Oreochromis niloticus: one gene and its partner. The protein of the gene in region 2 purifies or fractionates together with the protein of the main gene of each other region. This does not show direct contact. Links are inferred from orthologs where the notes say so. Each region holds a gene or a part of one and is shown on either strand. Other genes may lie near its edges. The genes, in order: col5a1 and mmp2.

Region 1 (16,308 bases), on a different chromosome or scaffold from region 2:
TGAGGAAGATCATCATAGTACTTGTGGGCCACTCTTGGTAGTACATTTTTCATTGACTGTAAGTCACTGTATTTCCTCAGGGTGATGGGCAACTGAGCAGGAAAGAGTGGGATCCACTTGAATGGCTTGTTGTCGGGTATGCTGATGCGCCGAGGCAGGTCTTCCCAGTCAGATTCAAAATCCAGCTTGTACCTGATCCGTCCATCAGTCAAGTACTGCAAAGCCCGGAGGTCATGGACTGTGGGGTCCCCAACTTTTTTGCCGGGTCGAATATTGGTGACATAGGTGCCAGATAACTTCATGAAGTCATTGTGGTATAGTTGAGTCACCCTGTATGGGGATGGATTAATGCGTGCAGCCTCAAAGATGACAACGTAATCTCGTGGAGTGTAAACGTCTTGCACAATGCGCCGTTCAATTAGACTGTGCATGGAGTCACACTCCATCTGTGTGTGGCCTGCAACTAGAAATTTCTGCTCAATGCTGACACCATGCTTCATGGCCAGGTAAAGGTAGGCGTTGCTGATGGTAGCACACCGGTTCTGATACCCGCAGCCATCACTCCAGACAATGACTTTCTCAATGTTTCTGTTGGCCTGTAGGACAGACTCAAAGTGGTTGGACTGCAGATGTGCAAAAACCTCACTGCTGAGGGAGCCTTCATGTTCTTCCCAAGCATAACAGTACCCATCTCTGTTGTTCATGTTGAAGCAGGTAAAGTTGTGCATCTGTAATTTAGTTTTGTAGTACATTGTACTTGCTTTTGTCTGGGGGCAAAGAAGAACGCGTTGAAGGTCCATTGTCCACACTGAAAGTGTGTCACTGGATTCATTTTTGTCTGCAGCCTTTTCAGCTTGAGCCTGACTCTTCAATCTCAAGTGTGTAGCAAGAGCATCCTCATCTGTATTTCCTACCTTGGCGCTTACACAGATGTCACATTGGTCTTTTTTTGGAATGAACACAGAGTAATCCTGCTCTCCAAAAACCTTCCGAAAGTATGTCTCACTCACAGCACGCTTTCCATTCTCATTGGCAGCATTCTGGTATTCCTTGTGAAGCTCTCTCAAAACTGTTCCTGGCTCCAGGAACTTCTTGTTCTGATAAGAGGGAACCTGGCGGCAGTAATGGGATGGGACTGTAGGTATTCCAGAGAGCCACTCTTTCAGGAAGGCCTGGTCTCCATCTGATATTGGCATATGAGGACCAGTCTTGTTGATCTTGGGGTTGGGCTGGGTATGAGTGTTGGGTTTCATGCCTGCAGTTAACCATGATCCAATGGTTCTCAGGGCAATACCAAGTGTGGAACAGAAAAGATTTTTGCACACAGGTATTTTGCATCTATCTGAGAGTTGCAGGTGGTATAGCAGAGATGTTGTTCTCCTTGAATCAACACCACCTTTCTTCTGTTTTATGGGCACATTTTCAACAACAGTCTGGATATACACCTTGCGTGTCTCCCAGGAAGGCATGGACCAGAAATTGTTGAAGATTCCTCTTCTCTCAACTTCAGTCAGTAGCTCACAACTTCTTGTCGTTGACTTGAAGCAGTGCTGTGATGTGCATGGTGGGCCCATGGCCTTTGGTGGTCTCTCCTGTCCCATTGTATTCTTGTAATTCTCTCCCTTCAGACGCTTTTCTTTGATGACATTTTTCTTCCACGTATGGGGCAGTGGACGCTTGTGACGAACAGCAGAAGAGCTGGGGGTTGGACTGGCTTCCTCTTCCTCTGCTTCCACCTCCCCTCCTTCCTCTTCCTCCCCTTCATCTTCGTCTCCTTCCCCTTTCTTTTCCTCTCCTTCATCTTCCTCTCCTTCTCCTTCCTTTTCCTCTCCTTCCCCTTCCTTTTCTTCTCCTTCATCTTCCTCTCCTTCCCCTTTCTTTTCCTCTCCTTCATCTTCCTCTCCTTCCTCTGGCTGCTTATCAGTCTGTTGCCCCATATCAACATAATTTCCTCCTTCTCCCTCATCTATATCCACCAACTCCTCTAAGTTCACATCAACTTCCTTTCCTGATGATACAACAGAAAATAAAATGCTGTTGGAGTATCTTAAAATGGTAAATCAAGATGACATCTAAATCTACTTGTGTAGTCAAAATGTCTGCTATGTAAAAAAAAAAAAAATCAATTTGTACTATTAATATCAAATCAAATCAATTTATTTTTGTATAGCCCAAAATCACAACAACAGTCGCCTCAAAGGGCTACATGAATATTACTGGCAATAGAGTTCAACCAGTATCAGTCATTTGAACACAGTCAATATAAAGTCCAATTTAACAATTAACAATGAACCCAGGGCGTCCCCCGTCCTTAGACTCCCCTCCTAATAAAAAGCAAATGTTTGAAACATAATATAATTTGCAAACTTGCTGAAAATGCTCAAATTGCCTTTGAAATTGCCAAAGATTTACTCTGGTAGCATGCTGCTGTTAGCTAGCTGCTAGCTTGTACTACATTACTATGCTAATGCTACACTACTAACGCTAATGTTAGCTAGCCATCATACTTTGTTTGCAACAAAAAAGTAATCTTTTAACATGGTCATAACCTCTTTGATTGAATGAAAATACATTTAGTGACCAAAAAACTAAAAAAATATGAACTTTTACCAGATGTAAATGAATCAAAAAGAAGAGCAAGGGCTTCACTTGCGGTCAACCTCTTCTTCTTATCAGCCATTTTGCATACATCAAAACTGCCTAAGTCAAATTGATTGTAGCAAAACTGCCTAAGTCCAATGGTAAAACTGCCTAAGTCAAATGAATGACTTAGGCAAGTATGTTTTTTGACTCTTATGAGTGTTGTGATTGGCCAATGACATAGGCAGACGGACAGGATGATGCAGCAGTGGTAGGGGAGTAAAGTTAGGCAAAAATCTCAATTTGACCAGAAAATGACTTAGGCACTTATGCTATGAAGCTAACGATATATATATATATATATATATACAACTCCCAGCGCGCCCCTGCGGGCGGTTTATCCTTCAAGCTCGGGTCCTCTACCAGAGGCCTGGGAGCTTGAGGGTCCTGCGCAGTATCTTAGCTGTTCCTAGGAATGCGCTCTTCTGGACAGAGATCTCCGATGTTGTTCCCGGGATCTGCTGGAGCCACTCGCCTAGCTTGGGAGTCACCGCACCTAGTGCTCCGATTACCACGGGGATCACCGTTACCTTCACCCTCCACATCCTCTTGAGCTCTTCTCTGAGCCCTTGGTATTTCTCCAGCTTCTCGTGTTCCTTCTTCCTGATATTGCTGTCATTCGGAACCGCTACATCTATCACTACAGCCGTCTTCTTCTGTTTGTCTACCACCACTATGTCCGTTTGGTTAGCCACCACCATTTTGTCCGTCTGCATCTGGAAGTCCCACAGGATCTTAGCTCGGTCATTCTCCATCACCCTTGGGGGCATCTCCCATTTTGACCTTGGGACTTCCAGGTTATACTCGGCACAGATGTTCCTGTACACTATGCCGGCCACTTGGTTATGGCGTTCCATGTATGCCTTGCCTGCTAGCATCTTGCACCCTGCTGTTATGTGCTGGATTGTCTCTGGGGCATCGTTACACAGCCTGCACCTGGGGTCTTGCCTGGTGTGATAGACCCCAGCCTCTATGGATCTTGTGCTCAGAGCTTGTTCTTGTGCTGCCATGATTAGTGCCTCTGTGCTGTCTTTCAGTCCAGCTTTGTCCAGCCACTGGTAGGATTTCTGGATATCAGCCACCTCCTCTATCTGCCGGTGGTACATACCGTGCAGGGGCCTGTCCTTCCATGATGGTTCCTCGCCTTCCTCCTCTTTCTTGGGTTTCTGCTGCCTGAGGTATTCACTGAGCACACTGTCAGTTGGGGCCATCTTCGTGATGTATTCGTGGATGTTTCTTGTCTCATCCTGGACTGTGGTGCTGACACTCACCAGTCCCCGGCCCCCTTCCTTCCGCTTAGCGTACAGCCTCAGGGTGCTGGACTTGGGGTGAAACCCTCCATGCATGGTAAGGAGCTTTCTTGTCTTTATGTCAGTGGCTTCTATCTCCTCCTTTGGCCAGCCTATTACCCCAGCAGGGTACCTGATCACGGGCAGGGCGTAGGTGTTGATGGCCCGGATCTTGCTCTTACCGTTCAGCTGACTCCTCAGGACTTGCCTGACCCTCTGCAGGTACTTGGTGGTTGCAGCTTTCCTAGCGGTCTCTTCATGGTTCCCATTCGCTTGCGGGATCCCCAGGTACTTGTAACTGTCCTCTATGTCTGCAATGTTGCCTTCTGGTAGTTCAATCCCCTCAGTTCTGACTACCTTCCCTCTCTTTGTTACCATCCGACTACACTTCTCCAGTCCGAATGACATTCCAATGTCATTGCTGTATAGCCTGGTAGTGTGTATCAGTGAATCGATGTCTCGTTCACTCTTGGCATACAGCTTGATGTCATCCATGTACAGGAGGTGGCTGACAACCGCTCCGTTCCGTAGTCGGTATCCGTAGCCAGTCTTGTTAATGATGTACGCCACATCCCCATTGAGTTCCTGATGAAGGCTCTTAGGGTCCTGTTGATCTTGTACAATTCTAGGCATTCCAGTATCCAGCTGTGGGGCATTGAGTCATAGGCCTTCTTGTAATCAATCTAGGCTGTGCAAAATGTATATATACGTATACATGTATATATATACATGTATGTATGTATGTATATATATATATATATAGCTTTACTATTCGGTAAAAAATTATGTGAAAGCAAGAACAAATATTTTTTTAAAAAGCCACTAAACAAACTAGTTGAAAGGCTTTCTTACAACTTTTCCATCCATTCATTCATCCCAATCTCCTTACCCAGTTCAAGGTTGCGTACACACAGATTTTCTATGAAATAAATGGGGACAAGACTTAGGTCATATTGCTTTATTAAAACTAATATGCAATTTCATTAAAACGGCTTACAGTAGGAACAATCAAAGAACAAATTTGCTCCTATATTTCGTAGTGACATTTGTCATGAAAAGACAAAAAGAAAAGAAAAGAGAAGAAAGTCACTTTGGCCCACCAATAGCACTACCAATTTCAGAATTGGTAGTGCTATTTTTTTCCCCCCAAATAGTTGAATTGCCTTTAGGCGGAGGCATCATGCTATATGTATTTCAGCTGCACCGATAATTATCACTGTAAAACTGTGAAGGTGATTTATGGGTATATTCTAAAATTCAATGTTTTTTTTCTGTTTCAAATGTACTTAGCTGTAATAGAAATGTAAACATATCATTCCCGCACACCTTAGATAGAGATTACTGCTTAGGGTTAAGGTTGCGGTCAGGTTGGGCACCATAAAACGTGACTGGTTAGAAGCACTAAACACATCAGTCTGGAATCAGACTTTACTTCCCTCGCAATCTACTTTTGTGACTAGTGTATTCTAATGTTTACCCTTCTTGGAGCCATAGTACAATCAACGCCAACCCGCTGAGAAAAAGCACAAATTACACGCAATTTGCTGCAATCAGGTGTTAACAGTTTAAAGGCTCGTGTCAGTGTGTCAGTCGGCCCGCTGTCATACGCAGTTTTAAGTGCTTAGCTCTGACCTAAGTAATCCTACTTTTTAACCTCCAAACTTAAATCCTTTTTAATGACATTTAATTAAAGGTCAAATCAATGTGTGCCAGTCAAATTCCATATATATTTATGGGCCCACCTGGCAGGTACTGTAACTAATCTCAACATGTGACTGCAGTTTATGCAGTGCATGCTTTGATTTAGTGCTATATAAATCTTTACTTTGCTAATATTATAACTTGGCTAAGCTTGAGCCAGCGAACAGCTGGTGCACTCTGCTCATAGTATATGTTTACTGAGGAAACTGTCAAGCAAGGATGTGGAATTTCTCAGCTACTTTTCTTTTTTTCAGCCACAGTCTCACCATCCTTAGGTGTCACTAACAGCAGACAAGAATTAAAAAAGAGAGCAAAAGCTGGATGATAATAGTAATAATAATATTAATAGTAATAGAATGCCTGACAGACTGTCAGACTGTCATAGCTTGCCTGATATTTGGTGTGTGTGTGGAAAACAAAGTGTGGAGAAACTGATAGAAACACTTGAGTAGTAAATCATAATTTCCTGTTTCAGACACTATATGCTATCTTACGTCTCACAGGGACTGTGTTTTTTTTTAGCAAATGATGAAAGTCAAACTCAAATGAAAGTTAACCAGCAGTGTGCCGGCATCAGCGTATCAACATCCTTTTGGTTAGAAGGCAAATTAAGTAAGCACGTGACGGCCTTGTTCACGAGTAGTTTGGAGTCTCTGAGATTAACACAGTGTGGGCAAGTGTGGTGTGGGCACGAACCCACCCTAAATATAGGGCTCGGGCCATAATTTGACCCATGTTACCACGTAACGGTTACAGTATATGGGTAAGCGGTCAGTTTAGAAATACTACTTTATACTTAATGTAAATTTCTACCCTGCTTTTGAGAACAAGCTTTTCGTTTCAAACAACAGAGGGGAAAAAATGAATGTCTTTAAAACCAAGGAGTTTTTCCATGTGGCCAAAGAGGTCACCTGAGGATCTGAGAGAGCCCATCTGAGAGACTTTCAAAGGTGCTGAACTAATTTAACAAGCTTAACAGCCTTCAAGTAAAGCTGTTACTCTTAAAAATCCTACAGCGTGTAACATAAAACACCTCTTAGTCTGAATTTAGAGGACTAAAGTTAGAGGGACCACGTTCAGACTCATCCTTTCCTATCCTATCCCACTTCACAATGTGACATCATGTCACGGTTTCCAATGTTGCTGCTTGTTTACTTTGCTTAAAACCAACTTTTACTGGGCAATTAATAGAAGTCTGCCCCCCACTGGAGGAGGCATGTGACAGCTTATAAAAGACAGCTGCCATTTTTGGCAGTTCTTGAAACAACAGAAAGTTTGAATCTCATGCCACATTCAGCTCTAAAAAAAGTGTTATTGGTGACTATATGGCACTAAGTGTTGTTTTCTTGTGTGTTGCATTGTTTGTTGTCTCTCTATCCTCATCTTTTCCATTTCCCTTTTCCCCCCCTTCAAACCAGCTTTGCGGCACATGGCCACCCTCCCTGAGCCTGGTCCTCCTGGAGATGTTTCTCTTTTTAACCCTCAGCTTTTATTTTTATCCCTTTCACTGCCATATAAATTCTTATCATTGATCACCACCCACCTCTGCTCCTCTAGATTAGGGTTGTCAAACATAAGCAAAAACTCTATTCGAGCCCACTGGATGGCTTTGGAAATTTAGGAAAATTGGGTATTTTTAAATGTATTTTCACAAGCTTTACAGCTTTTCCTGCTGATAAGGCCGTTCATACAACACCAAAGCAATTAAGCAATAGATTTCTGTGTTTTACACATTTACTTCTTACAATTCAAGCCCAAAGAGTCATGCTGAGAGATTTCTTTAATTTACTACAGAGGCATTACTTTGCCACACAGAGAGAGTGGGACATACTGTTGAATTTGAGCTTCTTTTTCTCATATTGAGATCTTGCATTGATTAAATGTGTAGTTACATTTCTCTACACTGACATAAAGGGTAGTTTCACTGGTCTGACCCGCATAAGATCAAAGTGGGCTGTATGTGGGAATGATATTAAATGAATTCACGTCTCTGCTCTAGATAAAGAAACCACATAAAAGGTGGAAATTCTTTTACATATTTACTTTTATTGACTGTTAAACATTAAAGTTTGTGGTACTAATGAAAAAACTTCAGAGGGTAATAAAATCTGCAAGCACATTATTTCATCATATATTCAACAGGTTTAAAGCCCGTAGATCACCGATTAACATAAAAAAAGATATGAGCTTTGAGTGGATTATTCCTTAGAGTAAATATCTGATTCATTTAAAAGGGAGAACATTACAAATAGATGTATATCTTCACTATATATCTGATCATCTAGCCTCAGTATACTGTTATATCATATGGTTGAACTAGCACTGGGGGTCCACCTGTGGATTGTACAGCACGATTTTTCTCGCAGTCCCATGGCAGTCAGCTCCAGATAAATCAGCTCTTGCAGATAAAACATCTCGCCTTCCCACCTATAAAAAAGCAGTTTTGCTTTTCCCGCTCTGAACCACGTCTCTGGAAATAGCGGACTCCATGTAAAAGAATTCCGAGCGCAAGAGCTGGAGGCGTGAAACTTTCACCTCAACTTTTCCTCCCACCCTCGGCCAATAACAGGGCTGGCCCTAATATACAGGCTCCTCTGATTTGCCCGAGTCTCCTGTCCGCAAAGTGAGTGACAGCCTGGGGGGGAAGACTTTTTCCCTCTTCTGTGCGAGTGTGTGTGTGTGTTGCCCTGTTGACTTGAAGGGGCTCTACGTGACGACTGAAAGAGAGGGGCCAGCACTTCAGATCGGAGGCGCAGCGGTGCAGGACAGTTCAGAAGCGCAGAGAGGAGAGGAGTACGGGAGAGACGGTGGCCGTCCGTCAACCAGCTGGGGGAAAACTCACACTAACAAACCCTTATGGCTGCTTGAGAAATAACGACATACCCCCCTCCCCCTTTTTTTTCTCTGGGACTTTTTTTGGCTTTTAGTTTTTTTTTTAATTGTCCTGACCAGAAGTTTTTGCAAGTCTAATTAGCTGTTGAAAAAGTGAATCCACTTTGCCGTGGACGTCTCTGGCGGTCATGGATACCCATATAAGATGGAAAGTTAAACGGAGGATAAGGGACGTCCAAATCACTTTATCCGTGATTCTCCTTTTTATCACGTCGCAAGCAAGTTCAGGTGAGATGCAGCTGTGTGGGGTTTTTTCCCTTTCTTTTTTCTTTCTTTTTTTGTGGATGCACTTTGGAGGAGCCTTGCACTGAAAAGTTTTTTGCCTTTTCGCTCATAGTGGACCACAGATGTCTGCCCCTCCTCTTTAATGTATTCAGCTTGGTGGTGTGCCCCGAAACTATGGGAAGTTGTCAAAAAGAATTAAAAGACTGCTTTTGGAGGTTTCATCTGCAAGTTGTGCATAGGTTTTTTTGTTGTTGTTGTTTTTGCCAAAGCAGTATAGCTGAAGTGCATTTATTCATTTGAATGCATTAAAAATAGGAAATATATGCATTAATTAGTAACCATCATAAGTAACTAGTTTTTTTTTTTTTGGCATACTTATTATGTAGGAGTAATTGCTGTGGTGCATCTTAAAGTCTAAATACTCTTTTACCATTGCTTCTTTTCAGCAGATGAGAAGGATGGGTATAATTTTCATAAGAAGGAGGGGCTGAAGGTCCTCTGAAGTGGTAGGGTGGAGCCGCCTTAAGGACTCCACATCAGGGGACAGCGCTGGGGCCCTGCACTGAGGCTCAAGCAAACACATCTTTCACTAAATGCATTCTATAAATTCTCCCGATGTTTCTCAGTGACAGTTATATGAGTCTAATCCGAAAACATGAATAAATAATAGTTTGGTATGCCAGTTAGAGGCCCGCTTATTTTAATTGGAGAAGTGACCACCTCTTCGTCTCAGTGGTGAGAGGGCATGCATTGGGTTTATGTTTGGCCTATATGTATTATTAGCGCCTTAAGACTGCCTGGCATGGGTGACGGGCTGCTGTGTGCTGTGAAGGTCTGACACAGGACATTGAGATGAACAGATGGCTTCTTCTGTCTGCTCAGGGCAGTTAAAAAGCTTCCATGATTGTGCTGATGGGGTAAATTTGTTGTGATGCCTGATTACAGACGATTATGGAGTTCAAAATGCACTCCAGTTTAGAAAGTAAGCCATGATAATAACATATGAAGTTGAAGTGGTTTTATAGGCTCATATTGTTGAATATACACTAAGAAATCTACTGCAAAGTGTTTATTTTCGTGTTTCCTATAAACACTGGTTGTTAACTGGACAAAACTTTGGTCACTGTATGCTGGCTGGACTGAAATCTGGGTCATTTTTGATGACTGAGGAGGAGTTGAATTTTTGGTGGGACATTAAAGAGCATGGGCCTGAGGTCATTTTGATGCTGGTGGCTGGATTTAATCATCTCTTGAAACTGACAGAGAGGAACGAGAGTTTTGTAAGAAATCCCTAAGGGTTCTGGTACATTTTCCGAAACTTGACACATGCCAGACAGGAAGCACTTCATGACTGATTGCAAGAAACATGCCGACTCCATGAAAGCTTTTTTTTGTGAACTAATTATTCTGTCCATCAGTTGTTTTTTTTGTTTTTTTAGATTTTACCAATCATTATTTTAAAGTAGTTGCTTTCAATTAAACACTGTGCAATGCAAAAATATTAAATCCAGTTTTGCTATTAATACATTTTTTTTTGCTTAATGACTTTTCTAGACCTTTTACAATCAGATAAGACAAATGGTCTACAAATAATTACTGACAATTAGCAAGTTTATCACAAGTGAAAGCTTATCGCTGACCTAAGCCTCATCACCTCTTAGCCTGAGGGAGGACCAAAATGCATCAAGCTGAAGACTAGTAGAGACCTGCCCAGGCATACAATACTACTTGTTTTAGGGCTTGTCAGCTATGTTTAAATTAAAAACAAAAAAATTAAGTATGCTTTTTTTTTGTTTTTTTTTGTTTAACACTGAAATCAAAAAGGGCAGTTGAGCAAATACCATTTACTAAAGAATTGATGTTGTATTCATGTTTTATCACCAGCTATTTAGGTATTAGTATGATGCTAATTCCACAATGGTTTTTGTTTTGAATACAATACCCAGTCAAGATCATAGCCTAAAAAATTTCTTATCAAATCATATATATGTTCATAAATCTATAACAAATGTATTTCCTATAACTAAAATGCATATAGAGCTCAATAAAAAGACAAGCAAACAATACAGCAAGGCCTAACCTATTAGCAGTTAGCATATTCTTTACACAATGGGTTACTTACCCATGAAATATAACTACATTTTAACTACATTTGATTCAGAGCCTATTTCACTGTGAACTGTTGGCATGTGATACTTTTTGAAAGACAGAAATGAGTTAATAAACAAATACTATAAAGCCACGATCTGTAAACGAAAGCGGTTTGGAAAATGATGCTAAAATAGCCTGCTATGTGGAGCTAAGCTAATTTGTTGCAGCTTTATTACAGTCTCTCTTAAAGTATAAAAGACTGCTGTTTTGCAGGCTTAATGCTGTGTGTCTGCTGTTAAATGTGGCTTAGCTTATTTGGTGCTGAATTATATGAAATAAGCTCCTGACTCATTAGTTTATAAAGACAAATGCAGAAATATGTATTGAATTTATAAGTTATATACTTGTATCACAGTGTATATATTTTAATATTTTGCGGTCAGTTTGTCTTTCAGTAGACTGAAGTTTAGAAAGACCTGGTCTTGGTATTAGAGAGGAAAAACTCAGTTTAAGCTATGTGAAAAGCGGTAATAACAGAAGGCCCTGGACAAGAATGAGAAGAGGGGTCAGAGTTCAAAGGTGAAGGTCAGGACTGCTGTCAGGTTTACAGTTTCACTGCCTGAAGAGAGGCATTCTTTATAGTGTAGCTCCTCTCATCTTTGTTTCCCATAATTCTTCTCTGTCTCTTGGAGGCAGCAGGGTAAGATGTGTGCTTTTCAAAGAACCTTTGCAACAGTTTGAAGTTCCCGAGCCAATATAAACCCTGAAATGCAGAATTCAAATTAGGATTGATTGATATGTAATGTGTAGTCTCTACTTTTTAGCTTACTGATGTTTTCAGATGTCTGTGGGACACAGTATAACTGCTATAGACGAAATCTAGCTTAATTTACAAATGGTTTCCTTTGTGTTTCTGCTGACTTGCATTTTTTTAATCTGGTCTCCTCAATCAATGGACTCTTTTCACAAGTATTAGATAATCTGCTTTGACTCTTTTTTCTTTGGTTTGTTGTTGTTTAATTAAGCAAAGTTTTTTTGGATCGCCCTTGTTAATAACAGACATTTAAACCAGATCAGATCCTACTTGTCGAGTGTATTTTAGTCATCAAAAATGCTGAAATAACATTCTTTGAATACCTTGTGCAAATGAAAACATGAATGGGTTTTGGCCAAAGTCACCAAGGGCATTGAAAATATTGGAAGAAAAGGCTGATCACAAAATATGGTAGTGACTTGAGAAATACACTATATAGTAAGAACTGATATTTGTTGATTCTCTACATACGTTTTAAAGAAATATAGAGAAGAAGGCTTCGCTGTTTCTCTGAGCTCCTTCCCATCTGGACTTGATAAGTTCCATTGTGCTGTCTGCTAAGCCCTTCAAAAAGCCAGAAAAAATGGCTTCCAGATGTTTTCTTCCCATTCTATGTGGAACAGGGGACCATGAAAAAAAATACTGCTGCATTTTTTTTCAAGTGAAAATACATTCTGTGCTAGTTTTAGAGAAGATTTCTAATCAAATAACATCTGCAGTCTTAGAGCAGATTTGATAAAAAATAATGATGCTACGCCTTGCATTTCAGCAAGCTCTGCACATACACATTGAGGGCCCTTAAAAGCTTCTTTCTGTTTAAGCAACCCAGGTTTATGGCAGGGTTAAAGGTCGACTACAGCTGGTCCACAGCTGTTTTTTATTTATAGTCTCATATCTAGACAACTCGTTTTCAAAAGGAATTTATGTGGCTTACTTCGTTTTTGCCTTTTTTTCTTCCATATACCCTTCTTCATGAGCCCAGTAAGAAAAAATCATAGAAGATACTGTGACCGGAGAGATTTTAACCACTTGCTAATTGGTAATTGCATATCAGTTTATATAAATTAAAGGCAACGATGCCAATGTTTCATTTACAACATTGGGTTTTAACCTTACGAAAGCTTGTTCAGGAGGGATTTTCAGATCTATGTTACCATCACCCATCTGCCTTAGCTTCAATCTTCCAGTGAGAATGTAACTGTAATTTTGCTCTGAATTTCTGAAGGGCTTTTCTTACTTACCTTGAAGTGGCAATCCTGAGGTCATGTCAAACTCAATCAGATAAATGGCGATGAGAAAAAGTGGCTTCTTGTGTGTGCCTATTGCCATGGCGCTGAGGAAGGAATCCGAGTTAGCTGTTCTGTGGGGAGAAGCAGTGACCCTGCAACTGCATGTGCCACTTCAGCCCTGTAAATACAGGCTTTGTGGAAACGACTCTGTAAATCAGCCCTAATGCCTGATAATAGCATGGAAGATAAAACAAAATATGCAGGACAAGTTTTTGACCCCGTGTCAGAGTTAAGGAGATCCTTTGTGCTGCACAAATAGTTCATTATTTGCCATATCTTGGACAGTATATCGTCTAGTCCTTTCCAGACTAATTAAGGTTCAAATAATTGTTTTGAACCGCTCAATGGTCCTCTGTACTCATGACACAGTGTGCTTGATTTGAAGCCAGTGGCACATTTTTCTCCAAATTAGCTTATTGCTAAAAGCACACAGACATAGATGGATCATTCCAGCTCCAAATGCAAGCAAACGAGGACGATGTGTTCCTTACACTCTCAGAGACAAATGGAACCAAATGGAGACAGTGGTGTTGGAAATGTCAACATGACCCTACGAGTGATGTAAAAGTTGGATGCTCTACCTAATGATGCAACCCCCCGCGCCTGTTTTTGATTTCAACCCTATGCTTTGTTGCAGCATGTAGTGCATGGCAGAGTGAAAAGTGAATTCTGGTCCAGGCTCACAAGCCGAGTATTCACTTTAGCTGGGAAACAGTGCTTCTCTCTGTAATGGGGTATTATAACCATTGAGCATGGAAAGCAATGTATGACTCATCCTTTCCAACCCCATTCCCCCTTCCCCAGCCCGAGCTAAGCCACAGCCTGGGCAGCAGAAATACTGAGTGTAAGCATTTTTTTCCTACTAGGGGGAAATACAATGGCTTTTTGGTCACTCTAGAAACTTTACTGTAGCCCCATGTACTCTTTAATTTATTGGTTGACAAATTTAGAAGGAATTGAAATAATAACACAGTAAAAAGTAAGGTTTTGCTTATTTAGCAGTGTTTTGTCATGAAACCATCCTCAATGAACTTACAAGGGAGCAACAAGGGAACAAGCTTGAGTTTCACTCATTTGCAGAAGCAAGCTGAATGAAGGCTAAAGGTCCCGGAAAGGAAACCCTGTTTCTTATTATCTGCCCAGTTGCAAAATGGTGACAATATAAGAGGAAAATGTTCACTGTCAAAACATCTTGCAACAAAATAGCGTAATTTAAAACACGATAAAACTTTTACCCGTATTTAGGGAGTGACTATCGTCCCCATTAGATATTGAAAAGCTAAAAGTTGAGACAAAAAGGGTTTTGGTTGCACAGATATGCTAACCAAAACCGCAATCTTTCCCTATCCTAGGCCAAAACTCTTTTTTGTTATGCAAACTCAACCACAAGTTGTACTCAGAATACAAACTATGGCCTGTGGCATTGATGTCATGTACTCTGTTTGCATGAAAAACCCAGAAAATGTTTCCAATGAAAGTAAAAAAACAACAAAAAATTGTGTAATTTAGAGTCTTGAGTTACAGTTTTGTGAACAGACTCATGATAAGAAGCAATTTCATACAGTGATGCTCTAAATGAAGTTAGGAGCTAGTGCAGGACCTCCAGAGTCTAGATGCTAGTGGTGATAATGTAGAATTAGTAAAAGGCTCCCTGGACGAGATGGTGATGTGTAGGGAAAGGAGGGCTGTATTTTAGGAGGAAGGCAGAATGCTTAAAAAGTAAAGGCTACTTCAAGAACAGGAAGTGATTGATTTTCAGAACACAGATAGAAAGGATTGCCAGACAGGCACAGTTATGTCAAAATTGTTAAAGAAGTGAGTTTGACAAAGAAAGCGAAAATGATGAAAAATAGAGCAACAGAACGGGACTACAGCAACACTCTGACACACAGAGGAACAAAAGCAAACTGTCAGGGAACAGATCTTCCTCAGTGAAATTAACCTGAAGGATCATTTCTTCTAGACTTCAAGACTGTGCATCTTATCATAGTTAGAAGCTGATTTTGATCACTTATACTGCAGCTGTCTGTCATTCCTGAGATTTACTCATGCTTTAACTTCTGTTCACCCACAGGCTTGATGTTGCTCAACTGTGACACTGGTTAAAGTGTCAGCAGGAGATGAATTGATGGTTGACTTGGCTGTCAGTGCAGCTCGTTGCGTGTTATCTGGCACCGTGATGAGATGGCAAGGTTTTGTTTTTCTGCAAGTTTCATATAAAGACTGTATAATGAGAAATGTGACTGATAGTTTATATATTCCTGTTGTTTTCGTGCCTTTTCACACTTCATTGACTTGCTTTTAAAAGAAAGAAAAAACTTTGCTCATTCTTTTCTCTGTGATTTCCATTCTCACCAGTGACAAGCTTGCGTGTGTGTCTTGAAATGATGCTTTCATTTACTTCTCCTTAGCCATGCCTTCGAATGTAAACATTCCCAATTTAGAAATATAATTGGATTTTTATTGGACACACAAAATATAAAGCATGTTCCACCACACATATGTCTAACCACTGTATTATTGATTATGTGGGCTGAGTGGGACTATTTCTTTATGGGTCATTGAGTTCACTAAAGATGATGAAACACCTTCTTGGTGAGAAAACATTGCACATTTGGATTGATTCCCATCATTAGCTGTGAGGCACAGCAGCTCAGTCGAGGCAAATAGGTTTGATAGGCAGCGCTGGATAGTCCTCAACGAAGACAAAAGCATCATTATTGTGCAGGATTTCGTATTTATTATTCTGTTTCATTGCGCTGTCCCAGTGTGTTGGTGCTGGAGCTGTTATTTGTGAGGCTCTGCGAGAGGAAATGGTTCCGTAATGTCAGTGCTGCAAGGCTCTCCTTTATCATGAATTTCTCAGCAGTCAGCTATTAAAACCATATCTGCTTGTGGGAGAGGCAGAATGAGGGGAAGGCTTCAGTGCAGAAAAAAGGAAAAAGATAAAACAAGCAGTCTGTGTGTGGAAGAAGGTTGCACACAGAGATTAAAAAATAAAACAGAAGCTGCAGAAAAAGACAAAACCACAGTGGGCGGAATGAGAAAAGACTTAATAAGTGAGAGATAACATGGATCACATATGTGCTTCAAAAGAACCAATTCTGTACTTTTTGCTGTAAAATGAGAGGTGCACAGTGGAATCTTGACTCAGTTTTTCCATCTGAGTCTGTGGTGGACGGCAGACAATGATTTATCTTCAGCGCTGTGAGCTGCAGCGTGGAGACAGTGAAGTAAACCATATGGCATTTACACTGTTAAAGCAATAAGAGTGCAGCTAAAGTACAGAGCATCAGACTGCAGTGAGGAAGCTCAGGTCAGGAAAACTCTGTAGTCTGGATCATCTTTCAGGTGTGTGTCTGTGTGT
Region 2 (16,538 bases):
TTATGCAACTTCTTTTCTACAGAGTCAGCCAGTAGACACTTAGTAAACCTACATGACTTTGGATTCACTGGCGCCGGTGGAGAAGAGGAGTGTAGACTATGTTTATGAATGATGACTACTTTGGTTGTCACTGCGTGAGTAGAGGGATAGCTTGTTTTCAACTCTTACTAATTGTCATATCACAAAACAACCATTTACCCACAATCTTCAAGTGGCACAAGACTGTAAAAAGAGAAACCATAATTAACAAGAAACCTCATCTCAAACTGCTCATTGTTTGCAGGGATGTGATTGTGAAATCCAGTTGGTGCAGGCTGCTTTGTTTCAGTCACGCAAGACGATACAGCCTGAAGCAGGCAATTTCGTTTTCTTTATCACTCTTCGCACAGATCACAGACAGGAAATTTAACAGGACTTTGGCAGAGCTTTCAGTGTTCACAAACTCAGCCTTTACATCGCATTTAAGACTCAAAAGAGCAACTGGGAACATTACAGCTTGCATATCTAAAACACTTTGCCTGGGCTTTAGACTTTTCTTACATTGAAGTCTTTTTTTAAAAAAAAACCATACATCAAGCTGCTAACTGAGATGATTACCTGTCTTTGAAGAAGAATGTTTCTCCTCTGATCTGTGCTACAGCATCAAAGATCACTGGCTCATTACAGATATCCATTGGAGTGACAGGACCCTGGGTTGGAGGCAAAGGCTTGTCTGTTGGCACACCTGTTGTCAGATTTACCACAATATTTATTATTTAAAGGGGTCTGCAAATGATGCACTCACAACATAATCATTTTCCCAGTCACTTATTGGTATTTGACTATATGTGGCATTTTCTCTCACCATACAACTCCTGGATGCCTTTGATGTCATCATTGGAGAGCCTGAAGTCTTTAGTAAAAGTGTAAACAGGGGCCATCAGTGCGCCGGGGTCCTGAGAGTGCTCCAAACCAAGAGCATGACCAAATTCATGGGCTGCTACCAGGAACAGGCTGTAGCCTAGAAACAAGTTAGTTTAAACAAATCTCTATTATCTTTCCACAGTAAAAAAAAAAAAAGAAAAAAAAAAGAAAAAGACAGATTCAGTGTCTTCCAATCCATTGGCTCTTGGGAAAAAATATCCCCAAATACCACTGGCAAATTCTTTTACCTTGATCAGGACAGAAACCCCATTTGCGGTCATCATCGTAACTCTTGGTGGTAGCGCACCACATTTTGCCATCACTGCGTCCAGAGGTGGTGCAAGATTCGTAAGTGTCTCCCAGGAAGGTGAAAGGGAAGACACAGGGGCTTCCATCTGCATTGCCCCCCACTGTTGACATTGCTGGTAACAGCAACAAAATGCAAAACAATAAATGCAAAATATGTACTGAATTCAGTTGCTAATTATCTTATAAATTCACTATGCAAAGTGATTTTTTTTTTCTTTCCGGAAAAGTTTGGGTTATTATGAAATGAGTGCAGATGATGTTCAGAAATAGCGGGATGAAAGCAGCTGGCACAACACACACGACATCAATAACTAATCCACTAGGCACACAACCAAAATGCACCCACCCAAATTGATTTTCTTTCAAAGAGAGATCATTTTCAGTCTGGCAAGAGTGATTTTGTGTTAAAAAAGAGAGAGAGAGAGAGAAAGAAAGAAAAGAGTAAAAAAACAACAACAACATAATTTCTTATTCGGTACAAGTTCTCACACAGGCCTCTGCAGCAAAGCCTCATCCCTAATCAAATAAAACCAGATGAAAGCACCAACGGTAGTACCTCTCCCTGTATGCCTTTCTCCCTACCCCGGTACCTCAACCCTAAAACAAGTCCTACTGACAGAATGGAAAATAGGCCCTGCTACTGCACATTAAAATACTTTTATAGCTATTCAGCCCACCACGAGCATAACCAAAAACCACAGCTGCAGAATTCCTGTAGCCCAACATATGGCAAGGCACTATGCACTGCTCATCAAAAAAAAGCACAGCTAGTGAAATATTTATTTATTTAAGTGCTGTTGCATAATGAACACCGTGACCACTATGCACACCTAAGTGGACTTCAACTTGATGTGATTATCTTTCATTTGGCTATTTATTATGTGAATAAGAGACAACACATAACACCACCTACCAGTTTCAGGGCAAAAGCCATACGTTTTGTCGCGGTCATAATCCTCAGTAGTGGCACACCAGCGGTAGCCATCATCTCTGCCCTGAGTGGTGCATCCATCATACTTCTCCCCCTGAAAGTTGAAGGGGAATTTACATGGAGCCCCTTCTGCATTTCCACCCAGGGTGAAAAGTACTGCAAATCACAAAGCAAATGAAGTTATAGATGGCCTAATAAAATTAAAAACAGTATTTGTTTTTACATTCTTCTAATTAAAAACGAAATGCAATTGCGATACAAAACCAAAAAAATTTGAATTAAGAAGATAGGTACCACTGGAACTTTTTTTTTTTAACTTCAAAACTAAAGCTTAACAAAATAGAAGACTCCAGTATAAACAGGCCTTACTTGTGTTTTTTCACATAAAATGACTTTGAACGTGTATTTTGGCAGTTAGTTGTAATAGCGTCTGATCATGTTAGTACCATGGACAGCAACATAACAGAGATAAACAAAATGTTTGACAAAGCCTCATGTTGTAAAGTGGGTCAGTAACTTGGAGAAGAAATGTTCCATAATTCACTCTAAAACCCCCCCAAAACAAAACAAAAAAAAAAAAGCATTTTCCTGGCCAACCTACTTTCTTCATGTTCAAAATCAACAGAACAGCTTTGAGTATAGCTATGATGTGATATTAAGTATTACTTTACTAGTACTGAAAGACTAATTAAATGTTTTGTCTGGTTCAATAAGATCCAAGTAGGGCATATCACTCCATCTAAGGTCATGTGGGGCCACAAAAGTTTCAAAAGCAAAACGTGCAAACAGACATCGCAGCTGCATGTCAAACATACAGTATATGTTTTAACAATAAAGGGACCCACTGGGTAAGCTTACATTCATGAGGGCAGAAGCCATATTTGCCATCTTCGTCAAAGTTGTAAGTGGTGGAACACCATAGGAAACCGTCATCACGACCCTGAGGTGTGCAGCTGTTGTACTCAGTGCCCATGAACAGGAAAGGGAATTTACAAAACTCGCCATCAGCATTGCCAAATTTTGCCTTCACCACTGTAAAACAAAGAATGCATACATAGATACATACTTATGTATAGAAAGAGGTGAAGCTATATGAATATTCACTCTATGGTGCTTGATTTCATATGATGCTTTCTCAATTTACTATGAAACTTTGTAGCATTAATTTCACACATGTTTAGAAGGTAATTTTTGTAATAAGCAAGCTAACCAATAACATAGCAAGCTTCTCCTGGAAGTTAAAGCAAATGTTGTTGTCTAGAATTTGGAAAGCAGTTTCAAAGTAGGCTTTGAAAAATGTCCAACAAAACTGTATAATGCAGGGTACAAATGATTTGTATGTAACAGTATGAACAACAAACACATATTGAGAAAATAAAAGTTCATCCAAGAGATCCTCATCTGTTCATCTGTTTGAAACTAGCACCAAGAGAAATGGAAAGTAGGTTTATAGATTATTTTCACACAAATTAAATATCCAGACATAAGGATGTTAAAAAAGGGGAAGTATTTGGGAGTAAAACTATCTGGGTCAATGGATGCGAATACAAATGTGTGCAATAGAGATTTTTTTAAATTTAGCTTCCAGATGTCTGTAGTTTGAAATGATGTCAGGTGCCAGAAAAAGATGCTTGGAAAAGAGTATCTGAAAGTTATATTAGTTTCTACAATGTCAAATTCTCACCAGACAAAATTTTAAATGAACTTGTCTAAGCAAAAAATGAAGAACTAAATAAATGAAGAAATCGACACTGGTGGTTTTGCTGCATGCACTTTTTGTAACTAGCATTCTTTCATTACCTTGCCCCTCTCCAAGTGTCCACTGCTCATCATCATCAAAGTGAGAGTCTCCACCAATTCCTGGGCCTGGAGCAAAGGCATGAGCCAGGAGACCATCCTTGCCATCAAAGGGGTAACCATCTCCATGCTCTATTGATGACATCATTAACCAATCAAAACAGGTATACTGACTACTTAAGACATGATGTGACATTTGTTCATGTATGCAAAGATTTCTGTTTCTGAAGCAACAATTCCATGTCTTCTTCAGCGGCCGATTTTCGGTTGCGTTCCCCTGTAATTACTAGATTCTTTCTGAATACAGTCAGCTGTGACCAGACAGAATGTGGGTAAATATCAAGTGGTTATTTTAGCTGGAATGTTTGGAATGACTTGGGTTAATACCATAATCCCCACTGCCTTTAGAGAATTCCTAAAATACAGGATGGCTGGGGTGTAGAGTCACTTTGAAAAGAATGTTACTTTAAAAAGATGTATGTTTTTGCTCCTTCAGCATTAGTCTAGAACTCGTGAGCTTCTGTTTAAATATTGACTTGTGCTAATTATTATAGGAACATTCTTAGAATTTTATCCTGCAGCACAATCTCTTTATTCTATTACAAAGATGTGGCAGATCCAATAAAAGGAGTATTTTGAGGGCTTACAATATGCGTATTACTATAAAACAAACTGATACATTTCTTTATTAATTGTGATCCTCGTAAACCCACCTGAGTACAGATGTACAATAGTTTTCAAATAACAAATGGAATATCTACATAGCGTGATGTTTATACACATAGTATACCATTGCGGCCAAAATTAATCATGATGTCAGCTTCTCCATCCATGATGCGGGTGAAAGTGAGTGGCGTGACATCACTCCATACTTTGAAGGCCCTGAAGAAAGCATCATTTATGACTTCTTCATCCAGATCGGGAGTGTAACCCAGGATTCTACAAATTGAGTAGAACAAGACAAACAAGCATGATTTAGATTGTCCAATCAGGACAATCTGTGAGTGTTGCAAATTCTCCTTTCTTTACTGAACATCATGGAAAATAAAGAGGCCAATATGAGTAATCTGTAAAAGCGCCTCCTGAAACAATGTTCAGCCGCAAACCCATTTGTATGCCTGTCTACACAGTCCTTTTCCTGAAAACAGTCTAAGATCTCATAGTTGTTATTGTCTTTGGCTTCCAGTCTTTCTTATAAACACACAGGCAGAGAGGCTGGAATGATCAGAACACGCAAAACCGCTGATATAAATAAACTACATCCACATCATAGTAAACCTCAAACAGAATGAAAACAAAGGACCTGACACATACTGTGTAGGAATGTTGGTGTTAGCGAGACATAAAGATGCAAGCACTTCAGACTGTGGGGATGGGGGTAGTGTGGAATGGAGGTTGTGGAGAGGGTGGGGCCGGTTTTAGAGGGTCAGACAGGGGCAAATATTTCTCAGTATCAACAACTTTGATTTATGGGCAATTGTTAAAGCAACAGATTTTTAAAAAAGTGCTGTGCAGTAAATGGTTCCCTAAAGTGCAGCATGCCAAGTAACTCAAAAACTATTAGATCACACCCAGTGGTAATGCCATAACCATTTTGCAGGCCAAGCTGATTAAAACCTCCGCAATTGTTTGAGAACTAATTTGGAGTCACAGTGGATTGGCACTCACTCCCATTATCATGTGTGTTATTGTTAATTCTCTGACCTGTAGGTGACGTCCTTGTTCTGCCATTTGGGTTTTCTGTGGAAGAAGTTATAATTGGCCACATCTGGGACACCGCAGCGGGGTTTTTTCATGATCTCTACAGTTTTGGAATCAATCTCTCCAGTTTCTTGCAGAGAAAAAAACTTTTGCATTTTCTTCAGGGTATCCTTGAGAACCATAAGATTACATCTGTCTTGTGGGCATCCATAAAACTTGTTTAGATAATGCTAAAGTTTGGATAAAAACATAAAATAATAGGTTAGCGTTGTTAGGGTATCTTTATATAAAATTAGAACAATAAGAAATAAATAATGTGAAAACTACTCCTGTTCATTTCTGGTACTCCAGGGGTAAAAACAGTTCATTGCTGCCTGACCTACTTAGACATATTCTGAGGAAGGAAAAAAAGAAAAAGAAACTTACCAAAGCAACTTCTTTGTCTGTTCTGGGGGTATCGTCTCCGGGAAACCTGATAATAGGAGAAGGACGAGCATTTACTGTTTGGAACGCGATGAACTGAAGCAAAAACAATTTGAGAAGACTCCGACGACAACTGAATATCGTCGGAAAGCCCATTTTCTCGGGTTAACAGTATATCTTGTGCGGTAAGTGCCGTTCGCTCTGAGTTGCAGTCCTTTCAGCCCGTCAGCTTGTGTTGCTTCTGCTCCTCAGCAGGATTTTTTTTTTCTCCTTAACGGGACATCCTGCACCTCGGGTCTGCAAACTTTCTTAGTTCTGCTTGCACATGCACTTTTCCCCCGACGCCTTCTGCGCAGTCTCCAGGTTGGGAAAGAAATGGGGACGAACCAGCAAATCAAATGCTGAATGATTCATCGACTACAGTTCTTAGTCACCCGCTTTTACCAGAAAACGTCTACAAATAAATAAAAATGTTCTTTTTTTATTGTTTCCTTATCTTTTTTTTTTTAAAGAGTAGGATAATCATCTAGTGGAGAAATTAACCAATTTTGGGCTCTCGCCCAAGCTGACCAATTAAACCAATGAAAACCTTCCGCTTTTTAAGTGTGTATTTCTTAAATTAATATGTGCAGATTCCAAGATAAACTATAACCTGCATGACAAGAGGTTTCAGCACATTGTTTGACTTTTTTGTTTGTTTGGGGATGATCTTTATCATTTTTCTTTCCAAACTTAAAATCACCTATTTGTTTACTAAATTACGTTCTGTCAACCAATTCAGCCAATAACTTTATAATTGGTAGAAGTGGGCGGTACTCATATATTTTATCCGCCTCTAGCTCGACTTTTTTGGTACTTTTTTGCACTGCTCACTGCTGTCTGAGAGCACCACCACACCCCCCTTCTAACTTTCTGACTTCCAGCGACCGATTTTCTTTTCTATCCCTATTCATGAATTTCTAAATAACCACTCGCGTTGCGGTGGGTAGAGGGAGCGGGGGGGATCATTATACCGGATTAATTTGGAATTCACTGACGCAAAGCAGCTCTACGCTTCCGTACAAAGCTGCTGAGCGTCACCACACAATATATTACCTTGCCAGGAGAGAAAAACAGCGACACCCGATTGCAGAAAGGCCAGAAGTTATTGAAAGTGGTAGATTGACATCTGCTGGTAGGATGCGAAACTGGCCTCAATATTTGGAAGCTAAAAAGAGACCATATATGTATTCTACCCATGAAAACTAATAAGGAAAAAAACAAAAACAAAGGATGAGTGTGTGTGTGTGTGTGTGTGTGTTCGCGTGGGGGGCGATGTTCGCTAACGCTTACTTATCCTAGTATACATGTTATAGAAAATAAACACACAGTAAAATATGATAAATAAATATATTGCTGTTTACCATGAGTTGACTTTAAACCTCATCAGACATTTTACTTAACGACAGCAATCTGCAAATGAAAGATGTAGATATATATAATAGAACGCCTTGTAAATATACTATTCTTGGACTGTGCCTGGTCATAAGATTTGTAATATCATATATATATGTATATAAAAGGTTTACAAAATATTTTTGTGCAGTGGAAAATGTATCGTATAGAATCTTTCTTATGTAGTTTGGTGTATAACGCTTCGCTTCCCAAAGCACTGTAATGTACTATAATTTACACTAAGTGAACTAACCTACTTTAACTATTGAATAGTTACAGTGGTGATTGGTGCCCTCTAGTGGCTCACATATAACAAGTACCTGGTCTGTTTTGTGGCCCTTGGAGCCAGTGTTCTTTCCTGATTTGTAATCTACAGCACAGATTTAGGATTTACTCTAACTCTCTTTGACATCTCTTTGTTTCCGCTCTCATACTGGATTACTCTGAACAGCATATGAGAGCAGACTCTTTAATAGAGAGAGCTGAAGGACTTTTTTTGCAAAGAGATCTGACAGATGGATAGCTCACAAACAGGATTTTGTGGTATATCTAGCAAAGCAATTTCCCTTCCCTTTAGCCAGAGTACAGTTAATTTTTCATAGCCGGGGCTGCTGTTGGTGGTTGCAGAGTGAATTTAACATCCATTTGCCAACAATATCCAGGACCTGTCACTTTGGAGCAGGAGCTTTATTTCATGCACTGATACATGCTGCCATCTCCTCTAACTGACACACTGGCAGTGATCTCTCACAGAGCCGGGGAACAGAATGGCTACCTATTAAATGTACATGGGCCTGCCTCTCCAAATAGAAAATGCTGGTATGTGAAAAGTTGAGCCACAGCTACAGTAATTGAATGCCTTTGTGCATATGAATGCAATTTTGTCGGCAAAAGTGGCATAAAGAGATGGAGATGATAAGGTTTGATTTGCATGTAAATTGTTTTTCTCTCTCCCTCATTCTCTGCTGGATGCTTAAGCCTTTTCTAGATTTAAGCACCGCACATGTGTGTTTTGATGAAATGCAGTTGTTTTTATTTAAAGTGGGTATCTTGTTGCAGTTGATTGCAAGTGCATCTGTCCCATTTGTATTTGTTTGTGGCTGAGACAACTGATTTAACCATAATCACATTGGTAGGGCTTGCTTTACACTAACACAGATGATTTGTACTTCATTGTTTATATATACATGTGTGTCATTATATGTCATATATGTGTGTGTGTGTGTTTTCTCTCTTTCTAGCAATCTAATGCAAAAACGCAATATGCTTGTGCTGGTCCTACACCATACAAACTCATGCAATTAATTATGAGGATGAGCAGCCTTCTCCAACGTGCCAGTGAGGCCTCCTCTTGCTTCTGGGAATGGGACACTCTGGACATGAAGGCCAGTCAAATCATGGCTCTCCAGCTGGCTTTGGATCTTCAGCCCCACTGATTGACCCCCGTCCAGCTGAACAGACCGCAGACCTGGATGTCACCCTGGTCCTCTGGCTCTTGCAAGGACCCAGACAGATTCTCTGATGGGTCATCAAACCAAACTGCCTGTATGGCTGGCTAGCACCAAGGTCATGAATGACAAATATCACAGTCCCACTGCTCTCCTCTCACTCTAACTCAGAGCCACTCAAAGTGTTTGAGCGAGTTGTAATGTTCAGTACTTTTTGGTCTGGACTTGAATGCGTGGTGTGTAGTTAATAATGACACTGAGTGGTTTAGAATCAGTCCATTGGCATTGTTTGTTTTATGTGTTTTGCAGGGGTAATTAAGAAATGGTTGCTGAGTAAATGAAAACAGCAGTAGCCCTGTCAATAAATCTGTTTCAAGATAACTTAATTTGGCTAAGCGCTGTGTTACAGAATACTGCGACACATATCACTTGGTTTGAAACATTCTGATGATGAATTATTGAGCATAAATCCATTATCTTGAACATATTTTATTTATGAAAGCACCAAGACACTGGAGGACTTTAACACTGCGGGGTAATTATTGTTCCACATTGTGTCACCGCTCTTCTCTCAGATGCAACTGCCAGCGCAAACTGCAATGAATCAAAGAATTGCGACTTTTGATTGGCATTTTGTGTGTGCACAAGGCCCAAAGCGACATTAGCTGAATTGCTTTATTTAATGCTTTCTCCCTCATTCTGTCTCTCTTTTAGCACGCCTTGTAAACACTGATGCAATAATGCATTCCATTATACAGCGGAGAGGAGATGAGTGTCTCGCGTGGCTCTTCTCCATCTGAATAATAGGTCAACAGCTGTATTTAAAAAATTAATCACATTCTTGGCAGTTGCAAAGGTTAGCCGAGATGCAATATTGGAAGCTCAGATCAGCAGCAAATCTCTGCGGAGATGAGGAAGAGTTGCCTTTGATGAGTACAGCATGTAAATGATTTGTGTGTGTTTATGGGACACGGGGCTGGCCCTGCCTCACTCCAAGACAGCAGCGTCTGCACCACTCTGTGGCAGAAACTGGCAACAGCAGATGGAAACAAGCAAGTGAAGAGATGGCTGACCGTGCCACAACATTTCACAATTTGTTCTCTGTTTTACAGCAGAAAAGCTATCTCTCTACCTCTGTAGCTTAGTATCTATATGTTAACAAGTACATATAAATGATGTCTATCTGTAGTATATATAAAAGTTTAGGTTATAAGTTTCAAATAACAAACCTTAGACCAACTAAACAGCTTGTTGTTAATCCAGTTTCTTGGTCTTGACCTTGATCCAGTGTGATTTTTTTAAGAAATTCAAATATTGATGCCTCGCCTACATCAAAGACAAATTACTCTCAAAGATATCGTGAGGTACAAGGACATGCATATGAAATATAAATGTCTACCTTGGATTGCTTTTAGTTATTCTAAAATATTCACCGTGGTATTTTGGAGCGCCATGCCGATTGCTTGTTGTGCGCAGGCTGACATTTGGGGATGAATTTTTCAGTAAGGATCTGATTTGGCCGTCACAGTAAATGGATAGCCTTGAAAAGTCAGGAACATTGCTACCTGGATTGTTGGATGAAAATGAAATAGTGCATGATGCAAGTAACTGAAAGGAGTGTTGAAATGCTGCCATCTGTCTGGTGCTCTTGACAGTTCTGAGAGCTGTGCGGCACATTAGCTATTATGTAGTTTGCAAATGTCAGGTTTGGAAGCTTCTGCCTCTCTTAACATATAAATTAGTAAACGCTTTAGACAATTATAACTTTACCACAGGATTCCAGCCTCCAGAAACCATTTACCTGTAAATATTTCTGCCTATAATTTGAGTTCATAGATGAACACCACTTTTTATGCAAATAGTGATTTTTTTCTTTCCCTTGGAGTATAATTAGGAATGGAAAAAAACAATCCTATGTTAAGTAATTGTCCATTAGAACAAAATGAAAATAGTGTTTCCAAAACAACATCGCCCCTTTGGGAAATCAATTACTTCCTTTAACTCATTAAAGAAAGAATGCCATGAGGCCTGGCAACATCTTTCCTGGTTTCTGAGCATCTTTTTAGTGTATTGAATTGTCACACTGTATCATTAATTGCCAAAGAAGAACAGATTCGGTTTAATATTTTGTTTTATTGGGGAAATTTGACAGGAAAGTTGACAGGCCTTTATTTCAAGAAAGTGCAGTATGCTCTGGTAAGCAGCTTTAATCTAATTAGATGGCACACACAAAAACAGACTGTGTGAATTTAATTTGATGTGTATCTTGCAGCATGCTTCAACAACTGGACTTGATTTAACTTTGTTTTTTTTTTTGCTTTTTGTTTCTCCAAATTCAGTCATCAGTCACATGTAAAGTTGAAATAAATCCGAACAGTTAACTCACCAAACCTGCTTCCTGGAAGATAAGCATAATTCCTTTAAAGCTCAGTGGGTCATACATTATTATTGTTTGGCTGTACCATCGCAAATTCCAGACAAAACTGAATTTCCTTTTCTGTGTCAATAACAAACCCAATGTCACCTCTGAAGTCGGGGGGTGCGTGATTTGATAAAGGTTTTTTTTGTGCTTTTCCAGTTTGACCTCTCTCACCTTGTTAGGAAGAAAAGGTTGAAGTACTCTTTTCCCCTCTGGCAAGTACAAAAAAAGCTGAGTATCCTGTATGAACACAGTTTAACAAACACAGCTTTTTAATTCCTGGTTTTAAAAAGGGTATTAGGTGCATGCACTTTTGACAGATATTTGTAGATGTAGATGGTCAATACGTTCATTTTTAAAAGGCAAAAGATGTTGAAAGCCTGAGAGTTTTCTGTTATAAGGTGAGTCGGTTTCTGATGTTATCCTTGACATAATTTTGATTTATTATGAGTATTGCAAAAGGCCTTTGCTTTTCTATCCTGACATTAAGATTCCATATCTATCAACAGGGATGGCTTGTTTTACCATAAGGCCAGAGTGTAGCATGTATTGCATGAAAACAGCTTTGTTCTGAGATGTAGCTGTAGACTTGGGTGGATGTATGAGTCAGTGTTCCACCCGTGGAAGTCATGCCTCCTTCTATTGCTGCTACCTGTGATCTGAGTCACTTTTAGGACTGCGTCTGCAACCCACAGCCCCCCTGTGTTTTAACTACTGGATAGCATGCAAAGCACCATGTTTGTAGGATATTGAGAAAGACCTTTGACAGGAAGTGGAGCCCCACTGACCATTGGGGATCTGTGACCGTGGTTCTCTAAACTGGCATATCACATTTCTGTCTACATCCTCTTAAACAACAAACTCAGTAGTGTAATAACTAAATCTCAACAGGCAGTTTATTTATTTATTTTTTAACAACAACAACAAATTAGCAGCAGAAATCCAGTAATTCCTCAGTATATCCTGAGTGCATTGTGTTTGCAGCAATGAAATGTAAGCACAAATTAATCAGTGCAAACCAGAAAGATGGCTTACAATCAATTTATATAATACTCCCACATAAAAGATTTTTATTACAGGGAATCTTGGTAGGAGTTTGGCCTATAAAGAAATTAACTTTGTCTCTATGCTAAGTATACCAATGCATCAAGCCATTATCTCCGTGATAGATGAATCTTATTTGATATTACACAAGACAAATGTATTCATATGGCATATTTTTCTAATTTTTTCTGTCTGACCATCTGTGTGTGTTACATCTTACCGAGATTAATCTGCTGATCCTAGTGTGATAGAGGGCAGGTGGGTTTTTTTCTTTTTTCTTTTTTTCCCCTAATGCACAATAGTAAGCAAGAGCTGATACATACATACATACATACATACATACATATATAAAAAACACCCAGCACGCCCCTACGGGCGGTTTATCCTTCAAGCTCGGGTCCTCTACCAGAGGCCTGGGAGCTTGAGGGTCCTGTGCAGTATCTTAGCTGTTCCCAGGACTGCACTCTTCTGGACAGAGATCTCCGATGTTGTTCCCGGGATCTGCTGGAGCCACTCGCCTAGCTTGGGAGTCACCGCACCTAGTGCTCCGATTACCACGGGGACCACCGTTACCTTCACCCTCCACATCCTCTCGAGCTCTTCTCTGAGCCCTTGGTATTTCTCCAGCTTCTCGTGTTCCTTCTTCCTGATATTGCTGTCATTCGGAACTGCTACATCGATCACTACGGCCGTCTTCTTCTGTTTGTCTACCACCACTATGTCCGGTTGGTTAGCCACCACCATTTTGTCCGTCTGCATCTGGAAGTCCCACAGGATCTTAGCTCGGTCATTCTCCATCACCCTTGGGGGCATCTCCCATTTTGACCTTGGGACTTCCAGGTTATACTCGGCACAGATGTTCCTGTACACTATGCAGGCCACTTGGTTATGGCGCTCCATGTATGCCTTGCCTGCTAGCATCTTGCACCCTGCTGTTATGTGCTGGATTGTCTCTGGGGCATCTTTACACAGCCTGCACCTGGGGTCTTGCCTGGTGTGATAGACCCCAGCCTCTATGGATCTTGTACTCAGAGCTTGTTCTTGTGCTGCCATGATTAGTGCCTCTGTGCTGTCTTTCAGTCCAGCTTTGTCCAGCCACTGGTAGGATTTCTGGATATCAGCCACCTCCTCTATCTGCCGGTGGTACATACCGTGCAGGGGCCTGTCCTTCCATGATGGTTCCTCGCCTTCCTCCTCTTTCTTGGGTTTCTGCTGCCTGAGATATTCACTGAGCACGCTGTCAGTTGGGGCCATCTTCGTGATGTATTCATGGATGTTTCTTGTCTCATCCTGGACTGTGGTGCTGACACTCACCAGTCCCCGGCCCCCTTCCTTCCGCTTAGCGTACAGCCTCAGGGTGCTGGACTTGGGGTGAAACCCTCCATGCATGGTAAGGAGCTTTCTTGTCTTTATGTCAGTGGCTTCTATCTCCTCCTTTGGCCAGCCTATTACCCCAGCAGGGTACCTGATCACGGGCAGGGCGTAGGTGTTGATGGCCCGGATCTTGTTCTTACCGTTCAGCTGACTCCTCAGGACTTGCCTGACCCTCTGCAGGTACTTGGTGGTTGCAGCTTTCCTAGCGGCCTCTTCATGGTTCCCATTCGCTTGCGGGATCCCCAGGTACTTGTAACTGTCCTCTATGTCTGCAATGTTGCCTTCTGGTAGTTCAATCCCTTCAGTTCTGACTACCTTCCCTCTCTTTGTTACCATCCGACTACACTTCTCCAGTCCGAACGACATTCCAATGTCATTGCTGTATAGCCTGGTAGTGTGTATCAGTGAATCGATGTCTCGTTCACTCTTGGCATACAGCTTGATGTCATCCATGTACAGGAGGTGGCTGACAACCGCTCCGTTTCGTAGTCGGTATCCGTAGCCAGTCTTGTTAATGATCTCACTGAGGGGGTTAAGGCCTATGCAGAACAGCAGTGGGGACAGAGCATCTCCTTGGTAGATCCCGCACTTGATGGTGACTTGTGCTATGGGCTTGGAGTTGGCCTCTAGTGTTGTACGCCACATCCCCATTGAGTTCCTGATGAAGGCTCTTAGGGTTCTGTTGATCTTATATAGTTCTAGGCATTCCAGTATCCAGCTGTGGGGCATTGAGTCATAGGCCTTCTTGTAATCAATCCAGGCTGTGCACAGGTTGGTCAGTCTGGTCTTGCAGTCTCGGCTGACTGTTCTGTCTACCAGTAGCTGGTGTTTTGCGCCTCTGGTATTCTTGCCAATCCCTTTCTGTGTCCTGCTCATGTATTGACCCATGTGCCTGTTCATCTTAGCCAATATGATGCCTGACAGGAGCTTCCATGTAGTACTGAGGCAGGTTATTGGTCGGTAGTTGGATGGGACCGGTTCCTTCTTGGGGTCCTTGGGGATCAGGACCGTCCGACCTTCGGTTAGCCATTCCGGGTGTCTCTCGTTAACTAGCAGCTGGTTCATTTGTGCTGCCAGACGTTCGTGGAGTGCAGTCAGCTTCTTCAGCCAGTAGGCATGAACCATGTCGGGCCCTGGTGCTGTCCAACTCTTCATACTGGAGACCCTTTCTTGGATATCTGCCACTGTGATGGTTACTGGACCCTGTTCAGGGAGGTTGCTGTGGTCTGCCCTCAGATCCACTAGCCACTGAGCATTGCCGTTATGGGTTGCGTCCTTCTCCCATATGCTCTTCCAGTATTGCTCCGTCTCCAGCCTTGGTGGTGCTGTTCTCTTATTGTTCCCTTGCCACTGAGAGTACACCTTTGCTGGTTCTGTGGAGAACAGCTGGTTTATTCTCCTGCCTTCTATCTCTCTGGTGTACCTCCTCAAGCGGCTGGCCAAGGCTGTGAGTCTTTGCTTGGCAGTTTCCAAGGCCTCAGGTACGGACAGCTTGCAGCTTGCTAACAAGCTGATCTACACTACGGCAGTGATCAGTGAGATGCTTGGCTACAATATATATATATACATATATATATATATATATATATATATATATATATATATATATATATATATATGAACATAATCCACAACATTATATATTACACATTATATTTCTGATATTTGCAATTTCTTAGAGACAGTAATTTTCACATCGGGCCATATGAGGGAGACCTTATTTCACTTCTCTGTATTTCATTTGTTCATGTCAATATGAGCATTTAGAATACGCAAAAATGGATAGACTGTGACCAGAAAGGTGATGTGTCAATATCAGTGCAATATGAATTAGTACTTTCTGTTCTTGGATCACTATACTACAGTTTTCCTTGATTCCTTTGATGCAATTCTCACATCATGAATGTCACTCTAATCACTCTTGCAGTAGTCAGAATACTCAAAACAGTTAAGGCAAATTTCCTAACAAAAGCTCCCAAAAAAGACTTAAGTGCAAAAGTCTTTATTCACATATGTCAAAACACTCAAAGTCAGTCAATCACTTGAACTCTGAACCAATGAATAAAAACCTTTTAACCACCGTTTTAAGACTTTGACACCAAGTGGTTATAAGCGTTTATCAAAACCTTTCTCATTTTGGAAAGAGAACTGAAAAATGTAGGCCTAATGTAGGGTAAAACATGGACAGATGCAAAAATGAAATATTATTTGAAAGATTAAAAAATTGCTTGAATCGAGAAAAGGCCAATGATACATGTGAAACTGCAGCACAAAACAGACAAAGCCACTCCGCTGGGGATCGCTCCTGTCAGCTAAGAACAGGAAACTGAGACCACAATTCATACAGAAAAGCAAAATGATACATGTGTAACTTTGTGATGCTATCTCCTTTTTCTTTCAGCTGCTCCCTTTAGGTGTCGCTACAGCGCATCAGCCTCCATCTCACCCTATCCCTAACTCTTCTGTCACACCAACGCTCTTCTTGTCTTCCATCACTACGTCTGTGAACTTTTTCTGTAGTCTTGCTCTTTTCCCCCTGGCAGCTCCATCTTCAACATCCTTTGTACAACATCCCTCCTCTGCACATATCCAAACCATCTCAGCCTTGTCTCTGTAACTTTGTCTTCAAACTGCTCAACCTGAGCTGTCACTCTGATATGATTTCTAGTGCTTTTCTAATTTCTGATGCTATCCCTCCTGGTCACTCTTAGTGACAATCTAAGCAGCTTTAGTTCTGTCTTCTCCAGCTTGGCCT

Evidence for each region.
Region 1: the proteins of mmp2 (region 2) and col5a1 purify together in Homo sapiens (co-immunoprecipitation; 3 studies listed by BioGRID and IntAct, counting the BioPlex papers as one, with this or other methods). This does not show direct contact. The link is inferred for Oreochromis niloticus from reciprocal best matches to the Homo sapiens genes MMP2 and COL5A1.

Annotation. Positions count from the first base shown.
Region 1 is NC_031972.2:14,590,788-14,607,095, forward strand, and holds the start of col5a1 (collagen alpha-1(V) chain), read left to right. Parts: upstream 1-8,242; 5' UTR 8,243-8,650; coding exon 8,651-8,750; intron 8,751-16,308. UniProt on the Homo sapiens protein: Type V collagen is a member of group I collagen (fibrillar forming collagen). It is a minor connective tissue component of nearly ubiquitous distribution. Type V collagen binds to DNA, heparan sulfate, thrombospondin, heparin, and insulin.
Region 2 is NC_031965.2:30,272,649-30,289,186, forward strand, and holds the start of mmp2 (72 kDa type IV collagenase), read right to left. Parts: upstream 6,373-16,538; 5' UTR 6,221-6,372; coding exon 6,068-6,220; intron 5,872-6,067; coding exon 5,645-5,871; intron 4,880-5,644; coding exon 4,731-4,879; intron 4,073-4,730; coding exon 3,944-4,072; intron 3,176-3,943; coding exon 3,002-3,175; intron 2,300-3,001; coding exon 2,126-2,299; intron 1,326-2,125; coding exon 1,152-1,325; intron 1,001-1,151; coding exon 845-1,000; intron 725-844; coding exon 598-724; intron 1-597.